Linked DNA regions of Coturnix japonica. The protein of the gene in region 2 purifies or fractionates together with the protein of the main gene of each other region. This does not show direct contact. Links are inferred from orthologs where the notes say so. Each region holds a gene or a part of one and is shown on either strand. Other genes may lie near its edges. The genes, in order: MIOS, SESN2 and SQSTM1.

Region 1 (3,655 bases), on a different chromosome or scaffold from region 2:
CAACTGAGCATATGCCCAGCATGTCCACCATGCCTACAGTTGTGACACCAAGTAAACCAGTTGTTGAACTGGGCTAACTTCTTGTCTTTGCTAAGATCCACTTTTTCATCTGACTTGGATCCTCCTGCACAGAAGCAAGCCCAGCACAACAGACAAATGAAACATAATACCTTGTATTTCAGCCTCACTAACACTATTAGAGTGAATTTGGAATTAGGAACTTCAGGTGAAAAAGCAGCCTGATTTTAAAAGAGATGTCAACACAATTATTGAAGATGTAAGAACTGGTGGAGAATCAAGAACATATTGCTTGGCTAATGTTTCACACCTTACGGACATGCTAATCTTGCCTATTAAATTTTGCAGACAGAATCTCTTCCAGTGGTGATTTATGTTTTGGTGATTAATTTGTGTTCCAGTGAATTATGCACCTGTTCATGGAATGTTCTGCTTTAAAACATGTAAGATTAGCAAAATCTCAGTTATGAATTGGAATAATTCAGTAACAACTCATAACACTGACCAGTGAAAGAATGAGAGAGATATAAATGGATGACAACTGTACAGACGCTCATAGCTCTTTAACAAGACTGACCTAAAAATATGGAAAAAATTAATTTTACTTAGACCTTGGATGAGTCCAAGACATTCAGAACCAAGAGATTCTAGGAATAGTATCTCTTAACTGTGCCAGCGGGACCCATACGTTCTTTCATATTTAGTCACAGAGAGAATATATACTACACTACATTTATTTCCTCTTCCAGTTAAAGAGCAATTAATTTACATTACAAGATTTCTGCAGCCTCCCAACAGTTCATTCCAAGAAAACACATCTCTCAGTTCTTACATTGTCAAAGCTCATAATACCAAACACCACAATATCCAAATCTTTTCTTCTGTTTAAACTATGGAGATATAATGATCTCGCTGGAAAAAAAAGGCCAGAATGAGGTAACTGTGCATACAGTCTGACACAAAAAAAAAAAAGACATAGGTTTAATCAAAATATTGGATGGGATGTAAATGTGTTCTCTACTACAGTCTATTTAAATATTAGTATTTACAGTATGAGTACAAACAGGAGGAAAAGGTGCAACAGATCATGTTCTTTAGCTTCTAATGAGGACTCCAGCTGAACAACTTAAAACAAGTATGTAGTACCTGGACAACTGGAAACTGGAGTTCCCATATTTATCAAGCAAAGTGCACAGCGAGGAAGTGGCTTACGACAACCAGGGCAGCTGGTAACTTTGGACTTAGTTGGTGAGCCGCTAACCCCATATTGGCTGAAACCTCGTCCCTGATGAGGAATGGCTGAACAGCTGTAAGAGATCGATTTTCCACAGAAATTGCAGCTCACAAACACCTAAAGAGAACAAAAGCCCATTAATTTTTCAGTTTGTTTCCATTTCTTCTACAATTACAAGTAAATTTGCTCCAGCTAGCAAAGACTCAATTGATGAGACATTCTAAAAACTAAGCTGGAAAGTCTTGTGAAGGTGCTGCAAACGTCTTGGCTTATAGACTTGATATGCACTTCTGAGAAGTAGGCCTCAATGATGCCCATGTAATTCATAAAACCATGTGAAACTATTACTGTTGGGAGAGATATTATTTAAGAATATAACAATTTATATGTCAGGCAATTTAAGAAATTCAGTTTACTCAGTTTACAGGCCTTTCCCTCTTTCTACTCAAGTGACTCACTCTAGAGCCCCCAACATGAGGATAAGCCAACTAATCTTCACCTGTATACCTTATGCCACAAGTTGAGGCATAATACAGAGAAAAGCAATACTTTGAGCTCTTCAGGAATTACTTATGTTGCTCATGTAAGGCACGAACAGTAAATTCAACTCCTTCTCACTTGGAGCAGAATACATGGAGTTGTCTTAAAAAAGCTGTGAAGAATACGTGCATCAAAAAACAGCCTTCCTTAGAAATCCTTGCATCCCCAATGTTTGTAATGCACATATTAGCAGGCATGAGCAAGTAGGAGTTGCTGTGGGTGGAACATTTTGAGTAAGAACAGTACCAGATAATATTTGGATAGGGTGTCAGTTTTCAGTTTAGCTTATGCTCTAACTGATAAGGAAAACTGCTGTTCACTTCAGACTCAAAGGCTTCAAAGGCTCAGTTAAACTAAAAGCCAATTTGAACCATTTCTTGGCTCCATCTCTTAGTTTCAGCACCATCCTCATCATGATGAAGAACTCACTAGGGTAAGTTTCTGATTTTGTTTTTCAACACTGGAAGAAAAAAAAAAATCCACAGATACACCAGAAAAAGCGTGGAAACATTACAGATTCCAGAAGATGAGTTTTTGTTAGAAGGAAAGGCTTAGGAAAAATAATGATTGGATGAAATGGCACTTCCTAGATTAGAATTCATGTAAACTTGTTCACTTCCTTACCCCCTACCAAAACAGTTAAGTCCTTTTTCTGAGTAATATTTTTGAATATATTAATAACAAAAACAACCAAGCAACAACAACAACAAATAAAACAACAAAACATTGATTTGAAATCTTTCTTTTCCTCACAAAAGCCAAGATGCACCCAGCAGTTTCATTTATTTATTTCTATTTAAGTACCACGTTGCCTTTCTGGATTGGTCATACTTCATGTAAGAATGATACTTACCTGAGCTAAAGGTTTTGAACTGGGATCCAGCTTACTTCTGTGGATATCAAACTCTGCACGTTTATGCCAAAACCTCCAAGCATCTAAAAGATTCCTATAGTTCTCAATCCAGTACTGAACCCTCTCATCTTTAAGTACTTCTGAAGGAGAACCCTAAAGAGAAAGGAAAAAAATGCCAGACATAACACTGAACACACACAACACAAGTTATTCACTTTTTCAAAAGGCTTTACTAGTACATAATACAAAATATGATACATAATAGCAAAATTTGCACAGAGAAAGATGATATTTGGAAACACTTAACACAAGATTGATAAAAGTTTTCTTCAGTTTGCCCTTCAGGTTGAGAATGCTCCTGCTGCTGATCTCCTAAAAACTGGGATTATTCATTTCTGTAGCACACCTGAGTTCATATCATTACTGTGGTTACATCCATAGTCAAACACAGCACAGGTAGTAACTCCAGCTGTTCCATTAAGGACCACGATAAGATAAGCTCAAAACAATAAATAAAAGCAACATCCACCCAAAGACAAAAAAAACCCTCCACCTTATAGCATTTCTCTAAAAAAACCCTGGAAGCAAAAAAGCCTATTTTGGACCTATCAGAAAATGCTGAAGTAGTTCAACTATTCAACTGTTCGGCTATTTTTTCTGTCTTCCCCTTGTCTTCACTTTCTCTGACTGAGACAGCTTGAATATAGAAGTTTGTAGTTATCACAAAGTGTTTCAGATGATTGCACAAAACAGGCAGGCTATATATTGTCAAAATTTACTACTGAATATACTTCTCAGTTCACAAGAATCAACTGCTAAACAAACTATGTAAAGATTCATTTTTGAGTGAGAAACTAACCTGTAACATGCAATAGCTTGCTGTCTGGACATCACCAGTTCTGTCAACATAACTTTCCATCAAGTCCACACCATCTTTTGTCAGCCCTGTCAACAATATTCCTTCCAAATTCCCAGCATCTTTCATTTCATTCGTCAGCTTCTCAATAAAT
Region 2 (3,780 bases):
GCAGGTTGTGCAGCAATGCAGGTTGTACAGCGATGCAGGTTGTACAGCAATGCAGGTTGTACAGCAATGCAGGTTGTGCAGCGATGCAGGTTGTACAGCAATGCAGGCTGTGCAGCAATGCAGGTTGTACAGCGATGCAGGTTGTGCAGCGATGCAGGTATTGCAGCAATGCAGGCTGTGCAGCTCCTCTGTCCTCCTCCACCGAGTGTCGCTGCCGGCCCAGCAAAGCCCCGATCCCCCATTGGGAGCAGCGCAGCCCCCATGGCGACCCCCCCCCCTCAACCACCCCCTAGTGCCTGCAGCTCCGATCCCTCACGACCCCCCCCCCTCCCCCTTCAGGACCCCCGTTCCCATCCCCCTTTGGGACCCCCATTACTCCCTCCATTGCCCCAGCAACACGCACCCCCACCACACACTTCAGCCCCCCCCCCTTGCAGGGCACCCCCTGCACCCACAGACCTCGTGCAGCTGCTCATTGCCCCCCCCCCCCACACCGTCCCATCTCTTATCTGCAGCTCCCAGGTGCCGCTGGGTGCTGATAAGCACCTGGTGCTGCTGCACGCTGCCCCCCACCCCATATCACAGCATGTTGGGGGGGGGGGGGGAAGGTAAAAGAACAACACTCAGACACCCCATAATAATAAAAAAAGAATGTATTCCCTCCTTCACATGAAGGCTGCAGACTCCAGGCCCACATAGGAGTCCAAACAACAACCAGAAATAAGTTAAAGTGGAGCTGTGATGCAGCAGAAACAAACCTGGGGGGTGGTGGGGGTCCCCATGGCTCCCCCAGTGACCAGCACTGAGGGGAAAGGCACATGGGGTGTGGGATGGGAGGGGGGGGGTTGAGCATGGGCACCCCATATCCCAGCCCAGCAGTGCTCCAATGGACCCCCCCCCACGGCAGTGTGCTGTGCAATAAAGTGCAGCAGGGGATGGGGGGGTGTTGGGGGTCCCTTGTGCTGCAGGGGGGGCAGCTGCCCTCCTAACAGCCCCCCCCAGCTTTGGAGTGATGGGCAGCGATAGGAGAAGTGCTGCCCTGGCACTGAGCTCCACAGCCACAAAGGGACCTGAGGGAGGGGGGGGGATGGCACAGGATGCAACACAGACCTTCAGTGGCACAGAGCAGGCAGGGGGCACATGGGGGGGTCAGAAAGGCAGTGCAGGTGCTGCAGCCCCCACCCTAATCCCTACCCAGGGCTCAAGGCACTTCCAGTCCCCAATTGCAGGGGGGTACAAAGGGGGCACCAACACCTCTGTGCCCCTCAGCCCCCTATAGGATGACAAACATGATGGGGCTGTGGGGGGGGGGGCACAGCAGCATCATTGCTAAGGGCACCCCAGGGAAAGGGGCTCAGCTCCACGGGGCTCCCCCCCAACACAAGGCACACAACAGCCCCGTTTCCAGCCACCCCACAGGGGCACATGGGGGGCACTCAGAGACCCCCCCACCCCAGGATAAGAGGCACAGATACCCCCATCTCCCCCCCATATCTCTACATCCATAAGGCAGGAGGTGACATCCCAACACAGTCCAGCTCCCCACTGCTCCCAGCCCCCCCCACAGAACAGGAGGAGGATGGGGGGGAGCAGGGGGCTGTCAGGTCATGTAGCGTGTGACAGCGCGCAGTGCATACAGCAGGGCAGCCTGCAGCCGGGCCTCCAGCAGCAGCAGGTTGACGTGGACCTATAGCAGGACAACAGGGTCAGGGCATGGTGAGGGGGGGGCTCAGCCCCAAAGGAGAGGGGAAATAATGAAGGGAAATGGGGAAATGAAGGGGGAAATGAAGGGAAAAGCACCTTTTCGGAGTGTTTGAAGTGCCTCCAGAACTGCGCGTACATCCTCTTGGTTGTCTTCTCTGGGTAACAGGCCACTGTCTTGATGTAAACCTTCAGGCTGCGCTCCAGCAGCTGGTTCACCTCCCCATAGTCATAGTCGTCATAGCTGGGGGGTGATGAAGCGAACACATCAGCCCTATGCCACAAGCCCATTGGGGCACCCATACCCAGACCCACATCCCTTTAGCTGGACCCAGGGGATGGGGGAGCACAGGGGGGACCCACCGGATGCCGAAGACGCAGTGCACGTAGTTCCAGATGGCGCGGCGCAGCATGGAGGTGTCGACGCCGCAGTGCATCGCGATGGTGTTGTACGTCAGGTTATAAACCACCTGGAACTTCTCGTCCAGCAGCTGCCCCACGTCGGGGTACAGCCGGTTAATGAGGGAGAAGCCGTGGTCCTCCCATGTGTAATCCTATGAGGGGTGGGGAAGATGGTCACCCCTCCATCACAACTCTATCACCTACCAGTGCTGCTGCTTTGGCTCCATCCCAGCCCCTGTTGTTGGTGCTGGGGGGGGAGTGGGACCCACCTGAGCACGGAAGGTGGGGGGCGCCTGCTCTCCTCGCCGTGTAAAGTCCTTATAGCCGAACTCAGGGTCCTCCACGAAGCACAGCAAGCCGGACTGCAGGGCATGGTCTGTCACATCTGCAAGGCACAACTGTGAGCACCACCCCACGGCCCAGCAATGGGGGCCAACAGCCCCTTTATGGACACAACCCCCTTCTTACCCGATGGGGCCACCAACAAACTCTCAGTCTTCTCCATCTCGAAGCGCGTCGCCATCTCCTCCTGTGTGACGCCCTCCTCCTCCCTCTGACTGTCCCGCAGCAGCTGCATCCGCTCCATCAGCGCCTCCACCTCCCGCACAGCATCCCTGCCCTGCACAAAGGGGGCAGGCTCAGTGCTGCACCCCCAATAAACCCCCATACAAGGGGCCACACTCCATCCCTTGGGTGTTATAGGGAGACCCCAGCAGGACGGCACCCCCCAGCTCTTACCCCTGAGCACCCCGTGTTGTCCTCAGCTGTGGGGCTGCTGTCGCTGTGGGGTGAGGGGGGTCTGCAGCCCTGCCCCCCATCCTGCCCTGCCTCGGGGTTGATGCCGCAGCCGAACACGAAGGAGGCGAGAGAATGGTAATGGGTGAGCAGCACCAGCGCCTGCACCAGCTCTGCCAGCGACCAGCTGTGCTCCCCTGTCTTCAGCAGTGCCTGCAGGGGGGAGATGGGGGGGGACAACAGCATCAGGCCCTGAGCCCCATACATACATCACATGCTCCCAGCCACCGCTCCTTCCCCATCCACCCACCCGACTTATGGTCCCCAAAGGGTTAAATCCAGGCAGCGATGTGGCCCCCAGGACCACCAACCCCCCTTCAAACCCCCCTATTGGGGTGTCCCACCTCAATGTGCTCCTTGGTGATGAGCCAGGGCCGATGTGCCAGCAGCTTGTTGATCTCATTCAGGTTCCTGAGCTTCTGTGGGGCGCAGTGCAGCCCCTGCAGCCATGCCGGGTTGCCCCCCGCCTGCAGGAACTCCCCCATGTGCAGCCCCACCAGGTAGGTGCATTGATGCCGGGCTGCAGCCTGTGGGGGATCAGCTGGGTCAGCCCCAACCCCAATACGAGCCTTTGGAGAAGCCACACAGGGACCCCCCCCTCCCCATCACCACCCAGAGGGGTTTCCCTTGGGGCAGCGCTCAGCCAAGGGGGGCTCTGCATCCCAACATCAACCCCCAGGCTGTAAAGGGTGTTGGGTACCCCATAAATGACCCCAAAGTGGTGTTTAGGGGATGGCATCGCCCACTCCTGGGGGTCCCCCGCTCACCATGATGGCGATGTAGTGGCGTTTGTGGTAGGGGAGGGGTCCGTCCATGCGCAGCAGGAGATACTGAGTCTTCCAGAAGCTGCTCAGGTACTGGGGGTGCAGCCCCATCACCATC
Region 3 (2,188 bases), on a different chromosome or scaffold from region 2:
TAAGAGCATTATTAAAGAAGTTGTTTAAAGGCAATCTAGCTGTGTCTTGTTGGGAAAGACTGATCCAAGAAGCAAGTGCTATGTTTGCACAGTGGTGTCTAGCAAGTACATTAGAAGTAAGAATGGAAGTAGGTCAGATGGGAGGGAGCAGGGATGCCTCCAAGGCTTTAAGAATATCTTACCAGTACAGTTAAGTTCTGTGATTAATTCCCCACTATAAACTGCAACTCTTTTCCCTTGTTCTAGCTCTTTGTTTGCATCACCCATAGCAACTCTTTCTTTCAAAGCTACGGTGCAGGCTTCAGAGCCAAGCATTTGATTGCTCTTCACAAATGAATAACCCCGAGGTGTCTGCTCAGAGCCCAGGTTATGTGCAAGAAACAGACTGGCACAGAGCTAGCCTTACTTTTACACTGAGAACCACCTGACATAGAAATCATGTGCTCTTGGCCTGGATCTTCTCCTAACTTATAATCAAGTTCCAGTTAACAGAGTAGAACAGTTATGATTATTAAACAGCCACAAACTCATCACCAGTGAAAGAGTGGCAGTATTTATTTTTTTCTCCACACTACAAGCACTTAGGAACATGAAACAGAAACCTGTAACAGAAGATGCATTTGCTAGAGTTAACTGTACCACATAGTTTTCTTTTAGTTAGAAGGAAACTGGTTTTTGTTACATAGGCTACTACAAGTTAGGAGGCTGCTTGGAATACTGGATGGCATCTAGCGCTGCCCCGATGTCACAGTTCTTTGTCTGCAGGAGTCGAGTGAGCCATCCACCCTCGTCAGAGAAGCCCATGGAGAGCATCTGGGACAGAGACTCAATCAAGCGAGGGTCTGCTTCTGTCAAGAGAATGAGTTTGAAGTTAAAACGCTTCACATTATTAGCAAACCAGCCAAGGCTGTGGTATCACATGGTGGGCTGGCACTAATCCTAGCAGATCTAGCATAGCTGACAAGCGCTGGAAGACACTTTCCTCTGTATCCTATGAGGCAGACATTTTGAGATACAGCATATGTAACCTGCTAAGGAAGCAGCTGAGTTAGATCCATCTGTCCTTGCTGTAAACCTCATTGCCAGTGGTTTCAGTTAAGTGACCTGGCAGACTCCTAACTAGCTCTTGCCAGAAAAGTGTCTTAAGTTACAGGATGTATTGTCTACAGCCTGCATTAAAAGGCTCTCCAAGAGTACACAGCAAGGACACTGATTAGAGGCCACCTCTCTCATCCTGCTCAAATGGCATATTAGTACCAGTTTAAGACTTGCTGCCACCATTCAAGCAGAGAACATGCCTGTTCCTAACAGCATGCAGAGTGCTGCCAGAGCACAAGTTACAGTTTAACTTGTCTGTATGTGAGCTTGGTTCCTAAGCAGGTTTGCTTATATTGGACAAGTTGGCAATAAGTGAGAGCAACTTTAACTCACGTGCAACCTGCATGCATTCTCGTACCTGGTGGGAGATGTGGGTAGAGTGCAGCCTCTCTCAGCCCTGTAGGTCCTGCCTGGGGAGCTTCCTGAGCTACATCTAGGGAGCTGGGATCATCTGTCTCTGGCATTTGTAGAGACTGCAGTTCACCTGTGGAAGGATCCACTTCTTTGGAAGACAAGTGGGTCCAGTCCTCGTCACCCCCTGATGAACTGCTTGACTCACTGTGTGCCTGAAATGGAAAGAAAGGAGGTCCAGGTGCCGTAGTGCTTTCCAGGTAGGATGCATGCTCTTACTATCTGCTTTTAATAGGAAGAATTACATTTACAACAAGTCCCACCTTTGCTGTAAACCAGTAAAGCAAAGTGCCATATATTCTCTATCTGCTGACAACTGAATCATCAGTCCCTCAACACATACTGAATTATTTCCTTTTCAGTAAGGCCTCAGCAAGCGTATTAAATTAATGCAGTGTTTCTTGTACCTGGGACTGGAGGCTGCCATCTTCCATTTGTGTGGGCACAGGATCTATCACCATGTCTTGTATCTGCTCTGTAACATTGTTTACTACCGTTGCAGAATCTGTGCTATTCCAGCATGGTTTGCTCTGACTGTTCTGATTAGCAGTACTGCTGCTTGACTCGGCACCGTTATTCTCTTGATTAGAAGCAGGAGTCACTTTGCTTCTCTGTCCTCCGTGTTCCACATCAATATCAACTTCAATACCTGGGAATACATTTGAGACCAAGAAAAAAC

The links.
Region 1: the proteins of SESN2 (region 2) and MIOS purify together in Homo sapiens (affinity purification with western blotting; 5 studies listed by BioGRID and IntAct, with this or other methods). This does not show direct contact. The link is inferred for Coturnix japonica from reciprocal best matches to the Homo sapiens genes SESN2 and MIOS.
Region 3: the proteins of SESN2 (region 2) and SQSTM1 purify together in Homo sapiens (affinity purification with western blotting; 3 studies listed by BioGRID and IntAct, with this or other methods). This does not show direct contact. The link is inferred for Coturnix japonica from reciprocal best matches to the Homo sapiens genes SESN2 and SQSTM1.

The regions. Positions count from the first base shown.
Region 1 is NC_029517.1:22,623,375-22,627,029, reverse strand, and holds part of MIOS (GATOR complex protein MIOS), read right to left. Parts: coding exon 3,505-3,655; intron 2,799-3,504; coding exon 2,646-2,798; intron 1,370-2,645; coding exon 1,165-1,369; intron 125-1,164; coding exon 1-124. UniProt on the Homo sapiens protein: As a component of the GATOR2 complex, functions as an activator of the amino acid-sensing branch of the mTORC1 signaling pathway. The GATOR2 complex indirectly activates mTORC1 through the inhibition of the GATOR1 subcomplex.
Region 2 is NC_029538.1:1,893,145-1,896,924, reverse strand, and holds the end of SESN2 (sestrin-2), read right to left. Parts: coding exon 3,666-3,780; intron 3,426-3,665; coding exon 3,243-3,425; intron 3,052-3,242; coding exon 2,842-3,051; intron 2,723-2,841; coding exon 2,572-2,722; intron 2,489-2,571; coding exon 2,373-2,488; intron 2,256-2,372; coding exon 2,065-2,255; intron 1,946-2,064; coding exon 1,801-1,945; intron 1,688-1,800; coding exon 1,601-1,687; 3' UTR 636-1,600; downstream 1-635. UniProt on the Homo sapiens protein: Functions as an intracellular leucine sensor that negatively regulates the mTORC1 signaling pathway through the GATOR complex. In absence of leucine, binds the GATOR subcomplex GATOR2 and prevents mTORC1 signaling.
Region 3 is NC_029528.1:4,620,743-4,622,930, reverse strand, and holds the end of SQSTM1 (sequestosome-1), read right to left. Parts: intron 2,159-2,188; coding exon 1,917-2,158; intron 1,665-1,916; coding exon 1,457-1,664; intron 849-1,456; coding exon 691-848; 3' UTR 538-690; downstream 1-537. UniProt on the Homo sapiens protein: Molecular adapter required for selective macroautophagy (aggrephagy) by acting as a bridge between polyubiquitinated proteins and autophagosomes.